Linked DNA regions of Saccharomyces cerevisiae S288C. Changing the gene in region 2 together with the main gene of any one other region gives a genetic interaction. Each region holds a gene or a part of one and is shown on either strand. Other genes may lie near its edges.

Region 1 (4,394 bases), on a different chromosome or scaffold from region 2:
CATTGCCCACGGAATTTTTCTTGCAATGACGGGTGCTACCGCCTTTAATAATACGGTTTCAGAGTCTTGAATAGATCTATCACCCATGATTTGGTCACCAGTAAAAACAACCAACTGCGGTTTTTCAATGTCAAGAACTTGTTGAACGAAAGTTTCCGTTTTTGGATCTGCCTTGCAAGCTTCATGCTTTGGATACTCATCGATACATTCAGACTCCCCCACACCCAAGTGGAGATCCGCCAACTGAACAATTTTGAACTTTCCTTCATCAGTTTCTTGCAGCCGTTGAGCTCCTGTGTCTACAGGACGAGTACCAACGAATTTGTAAGTCAAATAAGCAGGTTCGCTGTAGCGGTATTTTACTAAGGGAAATTCTTTTTGAAGAGTCCAATTTGCTATCGGCTGGATGCAATCAACACCAAAGAGAATGTTAATATCGCTTATGTAGCTCCTTTTCTGCAATAGTTCTATGCTAATAGGCTCGAATGTGATGGATACATCCATAAAGGGTAGCGATTTGTCTTTAGGATATTTGGAAATTCCAGTTACTGCCTCAACATTTAGCTTTTCTAGGTTGGATCCAAAGTAGTCCACCAAAGCAGGGTATAACACATCATAGTAAAGGTATTCTGACTTTCCAAACCACCTGCGTCCAAAGGAACCTCTCAAGTCTTTATGAATTCTTTTCCTTTGTAAGTATTGGTGCCCATCAGTTAAAGTTGATTTAAGTTCATGCCGATTAAAACATCCTTCATAAAAACGACCAATATGAAAACATTCGTCATAGCCTATATTTACAACTAGCTTATCGTCATTTGAGAATCCCTCTAGACCTTTATTTTGGAACCATAGATTATCAACGTGTGATATCGGGAGTGCAAGGTCGAAACCAATGTGCTCTTCAACTCTTGGCGCCTGTAGGAAGTAAAATAGGGCAATCACTACAAAAACTACCAAGTATAATAGGTACCTTTGATACAGCCTCGGTAACCGGATCATGTTAAGATTTTTAACCACGGTGCTGGTCTTCGATACTTAAGTATAAAACTTGTATCAGAGGTATCTGCGATCTAAAAAGATTAATTTTTGAAAAAGATCAACACTAAACCATTTGAAATTCAAAAAGCACCTAAGGCAAAATATAAATCTAAATATACGTAAAATGGAAACACTTTCTGCGCAGCTTTATACAAGTTAGCCTTCTAGCTTATGAAATAGAAATGAAATATAACTGAGCAAGTCCTATATACAATACTATTAATGATCTTCTTGTCCATGAGACTGTTCATGGTGCCTTTTAGAGACTTCTTCATCACTTATCTGAGGCCTGTGGCCACCCGTTCTCAATAAACCACCGGCAGTATCTTCAACTGGAAATCTTGCACTGGGTCTTACGCAATGGGGCTTGCGTAACTGTTCAAAATCCATGATTTTAGTTTTCCCTCCCCCTTTTAAAGTAATCTTTGGATTCTCGCCCAACTTTTCCTCCACTTCTTTTATATTTTGGGTGCGTTCTTTACTATTATTATTATTATTATTATTACTAACTGCCATTATAGTTTCTTTATGCTGTCCTCACCATGCCTTTCGTTATCAGGCTAGCATTAAAAGCCTTTTAAGGTGTAAAGCTTTCGCCGCGATGGCTTTAAACAGTAGAAAATATTCATATTTACACACATGCATAAAGAGAGACCACTTAATAAAGCTAGTATGATAAGATCACCGGTAGACGAAATATACATGGAACAGACACAAACAGCAGAGGGCACTGACTTACTAATTGGTGACGAAAAGACCAACGATTTACCTTTTGTGCAGTTATTTCTGGAGGAAATAGGATGCACTCAATACCTGGATAGCTTTATTCAGTGCAACCTTGTCACAGAAGAAGAAATTAAGTATCTCGACAAGGATATCCTCATTGCTTTGGGTGTAAACAAAATAGGAGACAGACTCAAAATTTTAAGGAAGTCAAAATCGTTCCAGAGAGATAAACGGATTGAACAGGTGAATAGATTGAAAAACCTGATGGAAAAAGTAAGCTCTCTATCCACTGCTACGCTATCGATGAATTCAGAATTGATTCCTGAAAAGCACTGTGTTATATTTATCTTAAACGATGGTTCCGCTAAGAAAGTTAATGTAAATGGTTGCTTTAATGCAGATTCTATTAAGAAAAGGCTAATCAGAAGATTGCCACATGAATTATTAGCCACAAACTCCAATGGAGAAGTAACTAAAATGGTCCAAGATTATGATGTGTTTGTCTTAGATTATACCAAGAACGTACTGCATTTGCTATATGACGTGGAATTAGTCACTATTTGCCACGCAAATGATCGTGTTGAGAAAAATAGGCTAATTTTTGTTTCCAAAGACCAAACACCAAGTGATAAAGCTATATCCACATCCAAAAAACTATATCTAAGAACGTTGAGTGCATTGAGCCAGGTTGGGCCATCCTCGTCAAATTTGTTGGCACAGAACAAGGGGATTTCGCATAACAATGCTGAAGGGAAACTCCGGATCGACAACACAGAAAAGGACAGAATTAGACAGATTTTTAATCAGAGGCCTCCTAGCGAATTTATTTCTACCAATTTGGCCGGATATTTTCCTCATACAGACATGAAGCGGTTGCAAAAGACGATGAGAGAGTCATTTCGCCATTCAGCAAGGCTAAGCATTGCTCAAAGAAGACCTTTAAGTGCAGAATCAAATAATATCGGTGACATACTATTGAAACACTCAAACGCTGTTGATATGGCCCTATTACAAGGATTAGATCAGACAAGATTAAGCAGTAAACTTGACACAACTAAAATTCCGAAGCTTGCCCATAAAAGGCCAGAAGATAATGATGCCATATCTAACCAGTTAGAACTATTAAGTGTAGAGTCTGGTGAAGAAGAAGATCACGATTTCTTTGGGGAGGACAGTGACATTGTTTCATTACCGACGAAAATTGCCACGCCCAAGAATTGGTTAAAAGGTGCTTGCATTGGATCAGGCAGTTTTGGGAGTGTTTACTTGGGCATGAATGCTCACACTGGTGAACTAATGGCAGTAAAGCAAGTGGAGATAAAAAATAATAACATTGGTGTTCCCACAGACAACAATAAACAAGCCAATTCTGATGAGAATAATGAGCAGGAGGAACAACAAGAGAAAATAGAAGATGTTGGGGCGGTAAGTCATCCAAAAACCAATCAAAATATTCACAGAAAGATGGTTGATGCTTTACAGCATGAAATGAATTTATTGAAGGAGTTACATCATGAGAACATTGTTACTTATTATGGTGCTTCTCAAGAAGGCGGAAATTTAAATATTTTTCTTGAATACGTTCCTGGGGGTTCGGTTTCCTCCATGCTGAATAATTACGGTCCATTTGAGGAATCACTGATTACTAATTTCACTAGGCAAATACTGATTGGGGTTGCGTATTTGCATAAGAAGAACATTATTCACAGAGATATCAAGGGTGCAAATATTTTGATTGATATCAAAGGTTGCGTAAAAATTACTGATTTTGGTATTTCAAAAAAATTATCACCTTTGAATAAAAAACAAAATAAGAGAGCTTCTTTGCAAGGTTCCGTATTCTGGATGTCACCAGAGGTGGTCAAACAGACCGCTACTACTGCTAAAGCGGATATATGGTCTACAGGATGTGTTGTCATTGAAATGTTTACCGGTAAGCATCCTTTCCCAGATTTTTCTCAAATGCAAGCGATCTTCAAAATAGGCACAAACACGACCCCCGAGATACCTTCCTGGGCTACGTCAGAAGGAAAGAATTTCTTAAGAAAGGCATTTGAGTTGGATTATCAATACAGGCCTAGTGCCCTTGAATTGCTGCAGCATCCATGGCTGGATGCACACATAATTTGAAAAAGGGCTACTTATTAATTCTTTTTATGGCACTAAAGTGCTCTGGCCGATTTTTTATCAAATAATACATATATATCATATTTAGTGACATTTATTGAATATATCTGCTATTTACCGGTTTTTTTTTTTCAATTACGCTGATTAAGTAATCATAAATCACAATTGTGAAAAAAAGACCAAACTAGATGACGGTATTTGATTCTCATACCCCTGGAATAAAATCAAGTAAGATAATTCTGATAAAAAAATCCGACCGCACAGATGGAAGCACGAAGAAACAGGCCTTTCTTTGCGAGGTGATATCAAACCATTGATATCTTCTCAATAACCTGCTCTAGGAAAAGGAGGTAGATAGACAAAAGCAAGGAAATAATCCATAGAGTTTCATTCACATGAATAATCTGTTACCAATTTTTCTCATAAGATAAAGCCATCTATCAAAAATGATATTGAAATATTTGAAAAATGCTTGTTTTTATGGGGACCACAATTCGCCTGTA
Region 2 (4,141 bases):
ACCTTTTTCTTTTTTGATTACAACTTTTAACTATTATGAACATCGATGCCTTCACCTTATAATTAGGAATCTCGCTTTTTCTGGTGGAAAAATTTTCCGATGGCCTTTGCCATTCTGAAAAATAAAAGGCAATACTACGTTGGTATCAAAATAGTGGATAAACACATATTGTAATACTAAGCGATCATGTAGTTTTGGAGGTCATGTTAAGAAACTCATTGATATTTATATTACATACTGTGACGCTAGATAAATCACATATATAAAGGTATTATATTATATTATCTTTTTCTTTTTTTTTTTTTGTTATTTTCTAACGTTAATAGATTTGTTACATTTATTACCTTTTTTTCTTGCTTTTTGTTTGCTCTAGTCTTGTATAAGATTGTTTTATTTATAAAAACAGATTGTCCTTGTTGTTTTCTTCTGAGTATTGTTTAATATTAAATTCTGGCCCGCATTTTTAATTCTTGTATCATAAATTCAAAAATTATATTATATCAGGTTGCATCTGGAAGGTTTTTATCGGACCTTCGATTGGTATCTACCTCAAGTGAATGAGCTCCACCTTCTTCTGACTGGACCACCAAAGTATTGGAATCCGGAGTAGGCATCGAAATTTCTTTGTTCTTATCAGGATGAGCAGAATCTTCGTCACCAGCACTTGGCCTGGCTTTCGTTTCCAAGTTGATTTTGTATTGCTTCTGATAAGCACTTGTCTTAATATGTAGAGGCTTTGAAATTTTTGCAGACTTGCCCACAGATTGTTTATTACCTGTTGGAACATTTCCTTGTGAAGACTTCATTCCCACAGTTCTTCGCCGTGGGTATTGATTTATATTTTGAGAATAAAATGTGCTAGGAGGATAGTTTTTAGCAGTTGTAGATGGTGCTCTCGAACTATAAGGTGAAACAGCAGTGTTCCACTGCATGGAATTTGAACTTTGCATGTATGGGAACATCGCGGAACCTGGTGTCGATCTATAATTCGGTGTGTATGGTCTCCCAACATAGGTTGGAGCTGGTTGCATAGCTTGAGGGGGCAAAACATTCCATGAAGTTGCAGTTTGTGGATACAGCATATTGTTATCACATCCTTCTGGTGGAAAGAAAAAATCGTCCGCGCCATAAAAGGCTTGATCGAGTAGAGGATCCCCCCCCATGGGATTATACGGCATTTTTGGGTAGTATCCTGGAACCATTCCGTTTGGGTAAGATTGCTGGAAGTTGTTAGAATATAATTGGTGTTGTTTAGTTTGCTGGCCAGAGTTGTGAGATTTTGCATTTGTACAGTTTTCATTTGGCCGAGATTCATCAAAATCCATAACTGGTTCGTCATACTTCATGTAGCTGGTAGGGTCGCTAGGAGATACCAATTTTTCCTTGTTATTGTTAGATGAATAAAAATCCCGATTTGTCATAAAATGTTGCCTCGATGATGATGGTGGCACTGGGAAAGTGGGTGCCACTGATAACTGATAGGGGTATCTATTAAGAAGAGAATTAACGGGCATAGAATCCCTTTCATTCACGTTATCATAGGAAATAGGCATGGAAGGGGCAGCTGGCGTAAAAGCCTGTGGAGGGAACGGATCAAACGCATTTTCCTCCGTAGGGTATTCAACAGATACAGGAAAATAGTCGAGAGGAAAATCTTCTTCGTCTCTGCCCTTAGCGGTATTCTTGGGTAAGTCATGAGGCGTTTCTTCTGTGAGACCATTCAATTCGAGAGTATTGGGTTCTATAATCAATTTCTGAGGAATAAAATCATTAATTTGAGAGGGGGATTCTGGCGCATCGTCATCCATGAGGCCAACGCCTAAAAGCGGCTGATTAGTTACTGTTACCAACTCATTATCCTTAAAATTCTCGCTTTCTAATTTTGGAGGCGAATTATCTGATTTTGTTGTACTAGATGGTCTTCTAGAATCTAAATGTTGAAGTAACTGATCGTAGAGAGGCTTATCAGATGAGGAATCATATGAAAAAGATAAGGCGGGCTCATTAACGGGCTTAGTCGTTGAAGGCTGATTCAAACTTTCTCTTTTTAAATCTCTTTCCAACGCATCCGCAAACAACTTATCATGTGCTACACTGAACCAAAAAAATACTTTCTGCTTTTTTTGGGTTTTCAGACACATATTTCTGAATAGAAACGACAAAAATTCGGACTTTGGTTGTTCTAAAGTTGCATCTATACCACATTTGAGATTTCTTAAATCTGAAAAAATACCCTCTTCAAATTTTTTCTTTTGAACTACTTCTCTCCCAAACTTTTGCATTCTGTAAAGACAACATTTGACAATATCAGTACCTGTAATATAGTATAGATTGTTCCAAAATACACAAGAGACAAAGCCTTGTCCACTATTCAGATAGTATCGCCTTATAATTTGGTTTTCTTGCCAATTTACCGGCGCTGTGGCTAAAAAGAATTTTAGATCGCCGATTAACCTTAGCGATTCTTCAACTTCGCCCGGAGTAGCTTTACTGACTTCATCGTTTTCATTATTAGCTTGAACTTTTAAGATTTCCTCTGTTCTACTATTGGTTATTTGGACTTTCATCCTTGGTGAACAAGACAATTCAAATAAAGAAAGCGGTTCCGCTATAAAAGTGTGTTTTCTTCGACGAGTCTTGTTTGAGAAATATCAATATCCACTCTAGGTCTCGCTTGGGACACTTATAAAACAAGTCTTCAGTGCTTACCTGTTATCTTTTCCTATTTTATGAATGGCACGAACGTCTCAAAAAAGTCAACTAAAAAGAAGTAATCTAATTGTAAAAGGAACGTAGTGGTACTATGTGCGAGAAAACTAGCGTACGAGTACTTCGATTTATGGTGTCGAGACCTGACCGCGAAGAGTTGTTCAATCTTTTTTAGGCTGTTTTGTATTAGTTTTGATATATCTTAAGATGTTGCAAATTCGTTTCTTTTAAAACAATTTTTATCTGTTTCACTTTTTCTATTGAGACGAAAACGGACAACGGCGTTTGTTTCATTTTGAAACGAGCTCTCCGAAAAGAAATGCTGTGTTTCAAATTATGCAACACTCTAGAGTTCATATATTTATACACACGAAAACTTCATCTATATCGTTTACATACTACAGCTTGAAAGTGATTACTGAACGAAGTTCTTCAGGGTGTCTTGTGCAAACTGGACCAATTCTTTACATTCGTTTTCAACAAATGTCTTTAGCTTTATGGGTTCCTTAACGTTCGTTATACAAAGAATGTAACTTGCAATTTTCAGATGTAAGTAAGTGGGTTGCCCGTCGCTTTTCAACATATCTTTTAAACCTAAAAGAACTTGCTTGCTATTCTCGAACAAAACGTTCAAGACCTGCTCTTGATTAACGGAGTTGTGATGGTTGTGATAAACTCCTTGCATACTCTTGACGATTTCTCGATGGCGGAACTGGAACTTGTTCCGCTTTGTTAGGGATATCTTCAAACTCTTTGCGGACAACTTCTGTAATAAAGAGTTTTCTACGTCCAATGGAGTGACTATCGAACCACTTAACTTCTGGCAAGAGTACAATTCCATGAATTGCGCATCTGAGGCACAGAAAATTATTTGCGTGATCCAACAATCGTACAGCACGGTATCCAGCAACGTATAGTACATCAACTGCTCAGCATCATCAAGTATCCGAGACCTCATAATTTCGCTGATTGCCACGGTGGATCTTATAATTCTCTTCTTGTAACCCTCAACTAGAATAGGTAGGGCCTCATCGGGGTTAGAAAGACGGGACAGAACGAGCATTTCATGGTTACAGGTATGCGATGGGGTTTGTTCCTGCGAGTGCGTGGGTAAGACTAGACCATTCTTTTGACACAGCGCAAGCTGAACAAACAGACACCATGGATCTGTGGCCAATGCCGCCCCTGTATTTGCCTCCAAAAAAACGTTGTAAACACCTAGCTTGTACGTCCCCTCCACAGTCAACTCAGAGCTTCCACCACCGCGTTCTGTGAATGTGTAGGACCTCCGCTGTATTTCTAATGCAACGGCCTCGTCCTTGTCAGTCTGCGCAGCATATGTTTGTAACGGAAATGTGTCAAATATCCGTTTTACTGGCATGGGAACACTGAATGAACTTACCATTGTGCACGATGGCTTCGTTTTAGCCCT
Region 3 (3,347 bases), on a different chromosome or scaffold from region 2:
CCATGTGAGATTTCAATATCCTGTAACCATTGACGACCTTATCTTTAAATTGGTCAAATTCTTTTAGTGATTTGCCCCAGTCCGTAGTTAGGACCAATTTACTTTCGGTGTAAGGAGAACTAAACTCATCCATAATAAGCTGCATATTTTGAAAAAGACAGATTATTGAGGTATCACTACTTTCAAGGTCAGAATCTTTGCTGGTCTTGGCAAAGCCACAATCAGAAATGCTGATAGGACTATTTTCGTTCCTTTCTAGAGAAGACTTGATCTCAGAAAAGGATTTTCCACCATCATTACTTGCAAAAACCTTGTCTGTGCAACGTGTAATATTAAATATTTCAAATTGTCCCTCTTCGTCCCCCGAATTCTCTTCATTGTCATTGTTTACTTCTGTTTTCTCACAATAGTTGCACTTTGCAAGAAAATAGTTCTTATTCAAGGGATGGGTTTCTATATAGCATTCACGAGGTGAAATACTTTCTCCGGAGTCAGGTAGCGTTATACGCTCCCATGACTTACCTTGATCATTGGTTATATAAAGGTACGACCCATTCATTGCCGTTGCAACGGCTCTGTCATGTCTATTGAAGGGGTCGATGTATATCCAAGTGATTTCGCCTTCAATGCCTTCAACTTTTTCCCATGTTTCACCATCGTCAAAGCTTATAGTAACGGAGGTGTCTTGTTTTCTAATTAAAGTGTTGGAATCATCAAAGCTTAATATATCAAATGAATCTTGCGCGATAGTCTTTGTCACTTTGGGGGTGAATTCTTCGGCATTAGTTAAAGGAATGAGAAGTAAGGCCCAAAGAGAATAGACAAAATGAAGTAATATCATAACGTGTGATGACTACTGGACACTTCAGGGCTTTTCCAGATATACAGAGCTTTATAATACAATCTAAGGGCAAAATAAAAAAGGAAAAAGAGTACGGTAGTTGAGAAAAAAACCGGAAAGGAATTGCTTTAAAGATCTTAGTAGAATGAAATAGTACCACCTACTCGCCTCCTTTTTTTGTGCTTCTTGAGAGGTCTTTTGAGCTGTTGCATCATGCTGTTATTTAGAGGTTATTTTTTGACCTTGGTTTTTCCTTCTTTTCGCCGTACTCAGCCCGAGAAAAAAGCAGCGACTGCACTAAACTAGAGGAAAGAAGGCTTAAAACATCACGCGATCCATATAAAGACCCGAGTAGTTGGAGAGATTGACTACTTGACGTTCAAAAGAACATACATAAGGATAAATTCGTTCGGACTTTTTAACTTACACACATCTTTTGGTGTTCATTCAAGGGGCGGTAGTGCTTGTAGTCCGCACAGGCGGATACTTTTTAGTTTGGGAAGAGTTAACTGGAGAGGGCAGTTTACTTTCACATACTCTTTTATCTTTCTGAAGTAAAATGTGATGTACCTACAAGCAATGCATAAGCTCTTGAGTTTTAGATCTGTTTCACCCTGGAACTCAAAATTCTTTTACTCGAAATTTTTACTTTTTTTTTTTTTGTTTCTGCATTCTCTCAGATTTTAGATGATGCGGTTTTTTACAGGGCATTGAAACAATTGCAGAAAAGCAACATACTAATATATCATAACTTTTTACTCTTGCCTCTCAGAAACTATATATACGTTGTAATCATTTTCTTTCTTCTAATAGCTAGTTCGTTTGAACTACAAGGAAATAAGGCAGAGAAAAAGAAAGGAAAATAATATGCCAAAGAGAATTGTATACAATATATCCAGTGACTTCCAGTTGAAGTCGTTACTGGGAGAGGGTGCATACGGTGTGGTATGTTCTGCAACGCATAAGCCCACGGGAGAAATCGTGGCAATAAAAAAGATCGAACCATTCGATAAGCCTTTGTTCGCATTACGTACGCTGCGTGAAATAAAGATCCTGAAGCACTTCAAGCACGAAAATATCATAACAATCTTCAACATTCAACGCCCTGACTCGTTCGAAAACTTCAATGAGGTCTACATAATTCAAGAGCTAATGCAGACAGATTTACACCGTGTAATCTCCACCCAGATGCTGAGTGACGATCATATACAATATTTTATATACCAAACCTTGAGAGCAGTGAAAGTGCTGCATGGTTCGAACGTCATCCATCGTGATTTAAAGCCCTCCAACCTTCTCATAAACTCCAACTGTGACTTGAAAGTATGTGATTTCGGTTTAGCAAGAATCATTGACGAGTCAGCCGCGGACAATTCAGAGCCCACAGGTCAGCAAAGCGGCATGACCGAGTATGTGGCCACACGTTGGTACAGGGCGCCAGAGGTGATGTTAACCTCTGCCAAATACTCAAGGGCCATGGACGTGTGGTCCTGCGGATGTATTCTCGCTGAACTTTTCTTAAGACGGCCAATCTTCCCTGGCAGAGATTATCGCCATCAACTACTACTGATATTCGGTATCATCGGTACACCTCACTCAGATAATGATTTGCGGTGTATAGAGTCACCCAGGGCTAGAGAGTACATAAAGTCGCTTCCCATGTACCCTGCCGCGCCACTGGAGAAGATGTTCCCTCGAGTCAACCCGAAAGGCATAGATCTTTTACAGCGTATGCTTGTTTTTGACCCTGCGAAGAGGATTACTGCTAAGGAGGCACTGGAGCATCCGTATTTGCAAACATACCACGATCCAAACGACGAACCTGAAGGCGAACCCATCCCACCCAGCTTCTTCGAGTTTGATCACTACAAGGAGGCACTAACGACGAAAGACCTCAAGAAACTCATTTGGAACGAAATATTTAGTTAGCCATCATTATCATTAAAATATCAACCCGAAGAACAATGTATACATATACATATACGTACACATATACATATGTACATATGACATACGTATTAGCCGCTGAGGACGCGGACGTATAAAAGGACAATACTTATATGGAGCTAAGGGGAGCAGTTACGCAACTCCGTGATCGCGCGCCACGGGCCGTCGGCGGCTGTTAATTGAAGAAAAAAAAAATGAAGAACCACAAGGGGTGATCCATATAGGTGACTAGCATCATCCCCTGCGACGCGCGGCCCGCCGGGCCAAAGGCGGGCAATGCGCGCTGCTGATTGGCCTCGAGGACAACGCCCTCAACCACATCCGCAACAGCCAATCCCATCGGAGCGTCAAACTACCAAAGTAGTGATTGTATGGATGACCACTGTATTGTGGACGGTAAGCGCTTGCTGGAGCAAATGTGTAATCAAGTTGCTGTGTATATATAGACGTTAGATGTGTTCTACCCCTTCTTTTGTCTTGTGCCCACCGGGCTTACATTAGCACACAAAGCAGCAAGAGACCGTCTTACTAGACAATAGCGGCAAAACAAACAACACAT
Region 4 (4,629 bases), on a different chromosome or scaffold from region 2:
TAAAGGTTCTTTATTCGTTGTTCCCAGATGTACACATGTATTGTGTGAAAGATTACATTAAAAAAGCTGCATCAGCAGTAGGCAGTATTCCGTCTCATACCGCAGCAACTATCGATACAATAGCCCCAACTAAATTTCAGTTTTCCCCCCCATATGCAGTTTCAGAGAATCCACTTGAATTGCCAATTTCTATGTCTTTATCCACTGAGACAAGCGCTAAAATTACAGGTACTTTAGGGGGTTATCTATTCCCTCAGACTGGTAGTGATAAAAAATTTTCTCAATTTGCAAGCTGCTCATTTGCCATTACTTGCGCCCACGTTGTATTATCTGAGAAGCAAGATTATCCAAACGTCATGGTACCTTCTAATGTTTTACAGACTTCTTACAAGAAAGTTTTAACGAAAGAATCAGATAGGTATCCTGATGGTTCGGTGGAGAAAACAGCATTTTTGGAGGAAGTGCAAAGAATAGATCAAAACTTGAACTGGCAGAAATCAAACAAATTTGGTCAAGTAGTTTGGGGCGAGAGAGCAATCGTAGATCACAGATTATCAGATTTTGCTATTATCAAAGTTAATTCATCATTCAAATGTCAGAATACCCTAGGTAATGGCTTAAAATCATTCCCAGATCCAACATTAAGATTTCAAAATTTACATGTGAAACGAAAAATTTTTAAAATGAAGCCTGGGATGAAAGTATTTAAAATAGGGGCTTCTACGGGATACACTTCAGGCGAGTTAAATTCTACAAAATTAGTTTATTGGGCCGACGGAAAGTTACAAAGTAGCGAGTTTGTCGTTGCATCTCCAACTCCTTTATTTGCTAGTGCGGGGGATTCAGGCGCATGGATCTTGACCAAGTTAGAAGATCGTCTAGGTTTGGGGCTTGTTGGTATGTTGCATTCATACGATGGTGAACAGAGGCAGTTTGGTTTGTTCACACCTATAGGTGATATCCTGGAGAGACTACATGCTGTAACTAAAATTCAATGGGACATTGATCCACAACTAGATGGATGATTTGCCTTTTTGAAGTTATTTAACCCATTACAGGATGAAAAAAAAAAGACATTGCACTTGCATCACTGTAGGAGCGACTATAAAACTCACCTTCATTGTTGCTTTATTTTTCCAAGTAAGGAAAAATATCTGTTTACTTTCATTTACCTCTTTGGTTTTGTTAGGCGGGCAAGAGAGACCCGGTCGTTTCAGAATGCAACTTTCTTTTGTTTGCATATCTTTTTTTTTCAGCGATGCAATTTTCAACATGCAGCCATTTCACCGAAAATACCTAAAAAGGAAATAGGCAATAAAATGACATCGTAAAGGTTTCAAATGCGAAGGTACCTTGGTTCACAGTATATAATATATTCAAATTATTAAAAGAAAATAAAACTATCCTTTTTGTTCACTCTGTCTTGAGAGTGTATATTATCTTATCTATTCAAAAAATTTCTATTTACTTTTATATTTCTTGACCATCCTTTACACAAAGTCTATAGATCCACTGGAAAGCTTCGTGGGCGTAAGAAGGCAATCTATTAATGAAGACACCAACAAGAGTTTCGTTTGAAAAAAAAATACACACTCCACCAAGTGGAGATCGTGACGCTGAAAGATCACCACCGAAGAAATTTCTAAGAGGTTTATCGGGTAAAGTTTTTAGAAAGACACCAGAATTTAAGAAGCAACAGATGCCCACATTTGGGTATATTGAAGAGAGTCAATTTACTCCAAATCTTGGCCTAATGATGTCCAAAAGAGGCAATATTCCTAAACCACTGAATCTTTCCAAGCCTATATCTCCCCCACCAAGTTTGAAGAAAACAGCGGGATCAGTAGCATCTGGTTTTTCGAAAACAGGACAACTTAGCGCTTTACAATCGCCAGTAAATATCACAAGTAGCAACAAATACAACATCAAAGCTACAAATTTAACTACTAGTTTACTCCGAGAGTCGATTTCTGATTCTACAACTATGTGTGATACTTTGTCAGACATCAATTTAACGGTTATGGATGAAGATTATCGCATTGACGGCGATTCATATTACGAAGAAGATTCACCAACTTTCATGATCAGCCTGGAAAGAAACATAAAAAAATGCAATTCACAATTCAGTCCAAAAAGGTACATAGGTGAGAAATGTTTAATCTGTGAGGAAAGTATTAGTTCCACATTTACCGGTGAAAAGGTTGTGGAGTCTACGTGTTCACACACTAGCCACTATAACTGTTATTTGATGCTATTTGAAACTCTTTATTTCCAAGGCAAGTTTCCTGAGTGTAAGATATGTGGCGAAGTGAGCAAGCCAAAGGATAAAGACATTGTTCCTGAAATGGTATCCAAACTTCTAACGGGCGCAGGCGCTCATGATGATGGTCCGTCATCCAATATGCAACAGCAATGGATTGATTTGAAAACGGCGAGAAGCTTCACAGGTGAATTTCCTCAGTTTACACCACAGGAGCAGCTCATTCGTACTGCTGATATTTCATGTGATGGGTTCAGGACACCACGCTTATCGAATAGCAATCAATTTGAGGCCGTTAGCTATCTTGATAGCCCATTTTTAAATTCACCATTCGTTAATAAAATGGCAACTACAGACCCTTTTGATTTAAGTGATGATGAAAAACTGGACTGTGATGATGAAATAGACGAAAGTGCTGCTGAAGTGTGGTTTAGTAAAACGGGTGGTGAACATGTTATGGTCAGTGTGAAGTTTCAAGAAATGCGGACCAGTGATGATTTAGGGGTCTTGCAAGATGTGAATCATGTGGACCACGAAGAACTAGAGGAAAGGGAAAAGGAATGGAAAAAGAAAATTGATCAATATATCGAAACAAATGTGGATAAGGATAGCGAATTTGGCAGTTTGATCTTGTTTGACAAACTAATGTATTCTGATGATGGCGAACAATGGGTAGACAATAACCTTGTAATATTATTCTCCAAATTTCTAGTTTTGTTTGATTTTGAAGAAATGAAGATCCTGGGTAAGATTCCTAGAGACCAGTTTTACCAGGTAATCAAGTTCAATGAGGACGTACTACTTTGTAGTTTGAAGAGCACTAATATACCTGAAATATACTTGAGGTTCAACGAAAACTGCGAAAAGTGGTTGCTTCCCAAATGGAAGTATTGTCTAGAAAATTCTTCACTGGAGACACTACCATTAAGTGAGATTGTTTCTACAGTGAAGGAACTCTCTCATGTGAATATAATAGGCGCTTTAGGAGCGCCGCCTGATGTTATATCAGCACAATCCCATGATTCTCGTCTACCGTGGAAAAGATTGCACAGTGATACGCCGCTAAAACTTATTGTATGTTTGAATTTGTCGCATGCTGATGGGGAACTGTATCGCAAGAGAGTTCTAAAGAGTGTTCATCAAATATTGGATGGATTAAACACAGACGATTTACTGGGAATAGTTGTTGTTGGAAGAGATGGATCCGGTGTAGTAGGCCCATTTGGCACCTTCATCGGAATGATAAATAAAAATTGGGACGGATGGACAACTTTCTTGGATAATTTAGAAGTGGTTAATCCAAACGTCTTCCGCGATGAAAAGCAACAGTATAAGGTAACATTACAAACTTGTGAAAGATTAGCGTCAACAAGTGCATACGTGGATACAGATGACCATATTGCAACTGGATACGCCAAGCAAATCTTGGTCCTCAACGGGAGTGACGTTGTTGACATTGAGCATGATCAGAAATTAAAAAAGGCCTTTGACCAGTTATCTTACCATTGGAGATACGAAATTTCGCAACGCCGCATGACTCCATTGAACGCTAGCATTAAGCAGTTTTTAGAGGAGCTGCACACTAAGCGTTATCTAGATGTAACTCTTCGTCTACCACAAGCTACATTCGAGCAAGTATATTTGGGGGATATGGCTGCGGGTGAACAAAAAACGCGTCTAATTATGGATGAACACCCGCATTCTAGTTTGATAGAAATAGAATATTTTGACCTGGTAAAGCAGCAAAGAATTCATCAGACCCTGGAAGTTCCCAACCTCTAGTAGTTCGGGAATCGAGGCCCGTATTTCGAGGCTTTTGCTTTTCCTTTTTTTTTTTTCGTTTCTCCACGTCTATACTACGCAATGACTGAATATATATAATGCGTCGTAAATAGCAGTTAATGTATAAATAGAAATTGAGTAAACTTTAATTTTGCCTAAGAAAGAACCTATTGGCGATAATTAAATCTCGTCATATATGCACTATATATTTTTTTTCGTTTGGCGTTGTTTATCTATTTCCCGAACGGGATTATTTCCCTGAATTAGTTCATAATGAAAAAAACTCGCAGCCGGGTAACCCTCTTCGTACCAAAAATGCACGTGTCTGTACACAATTATACCAACATGGTTGTAGCATTTCAAGTTAGCTTGTTCGAGCTGTATAGTAAAAGAAACGTCGATGTGGCTAATTTGTTCCGGTGACTTTCAGGTCACGTGTTTTCCATGCGTGCGTTGCTTCTTCCTGCAAATCCACGGCTCGTAAAAGAGGACAATCAGCTTTTTTCCGTGGTGCCTGGCCGGGCCGCCTATGCATTCCATACGATTTCCACGGGCCAGATCCCGCCTAGCCCTTCCAGCTTTTCTTT

What was found.
Region 1: of STE12 (region 2) and STE11, changing one suppresses a phenotype caused by changing the other (phenotypic suppression), as found in Saccharomyces cerevisiae (5 studies listed by BioGRID, with this or other methods).
Region 3: of STE12 (region 2) and FUS3, changing one suppresses a phenotype caused by changing the other (phenotypic suppression), as found in Saccharomyces cerevisiae (3 studies listed by BioGRID, with this or other methods).
Region 4: of STE12 (region 2) and FAR1, changing one suppresses a phenotype caused by changing the other (phenotypic suppression), as found in Saccharomyces cerevisiae (3 studies listed by BioGRID, with this or other methods).

What each region holds. Positions count from the first base shown.
Region 1 is NC_001144.5:848,126-852,519, forward strand, and holds STE11 (mitogen-activated protein kinase kinase kinase STE11), read left to right. Parts: upstream 1-1,740; coding exon 1,741-3,894; downstream 3,895-4,394. Other genes in the region: DCR2 (phosphoprotein phosphatase), read right to left, coding at 1-999; YLR361C-A (uncharacterized protein), read right to left, coding at 1,258-1,554; NMD4 (Nmd4p), read right to left, coding at 4,370-4,394. UniProt on the Saccharomyces cerevisiae protein: Serine/threonine protein kinase required for cell-type-specific transcription and signal transduction in yeast. It is thought that it phosphorylates the STE7 protein kinase which itself, phosphorylates the FUS3 and or KSS1 kinases.
Region 2 is NC_001140.6:272,600-276,740, reverse strand, and holds STE12 (homeodomain family transcription factor STE12), read right to left. Parts: upstream 2,568-4,141; coding exon 501-2,567; downstream 1-500. Other genes in the region: SAM complex subunit SAM35, read right to left, coding at 3,125-4,114. UniProt on the Saccharomyces cerevisiae protein: Binds to the DNA sequence mediating pheromone induction (called the pheromone response element = PRE) which is found in the upstream control region of several a-, alpha- and haploid-specific genes.
Region 3 is NC_001134.8:190,743-194,089, forward strand, and holds FUS3 (mitogen-activated serine/threonine-protein kinase FUS3), read left to right. Parts: upstream 1-1,708; coding exon 1,709-2,770; downstream 2,771-3,347. Other genes in the region: PEP1 (type I sorting receptor), read right to left, coding at 1-841. UniProt on the Saccharomyces cerevisiae protein: Together with closely related KSS1, FUS3 is the final kinase in the signal transduction cascade regulating activation/repression of the mating and filamentation pathways, induced by pheromone and nitrogen/carbon limitation, respectively.
Region 4 is NC_001142.9:123,249-127,877, reverse strand, and holds FAR1 (cyclin-dependent protein serine/threonine kinase inhibiting protein FAR1), read left to right. Parts: upstream 1-1,549; coding exon 1,550-4,042; downstream 4,043-4,629. Other genes in the region: SSY5 (Ssy5p), read left to right, coding at 1-1,025. UniProt on the Saccharomyces cerevisiae protein: Inhibitor of the cyclin-dependent kinase CDC28. Necessary for cell cycle arrest. Involved in pheromone response. Contributes to mating efficiency. Required for oriented polarization of yeast cells in response to mating pheromones.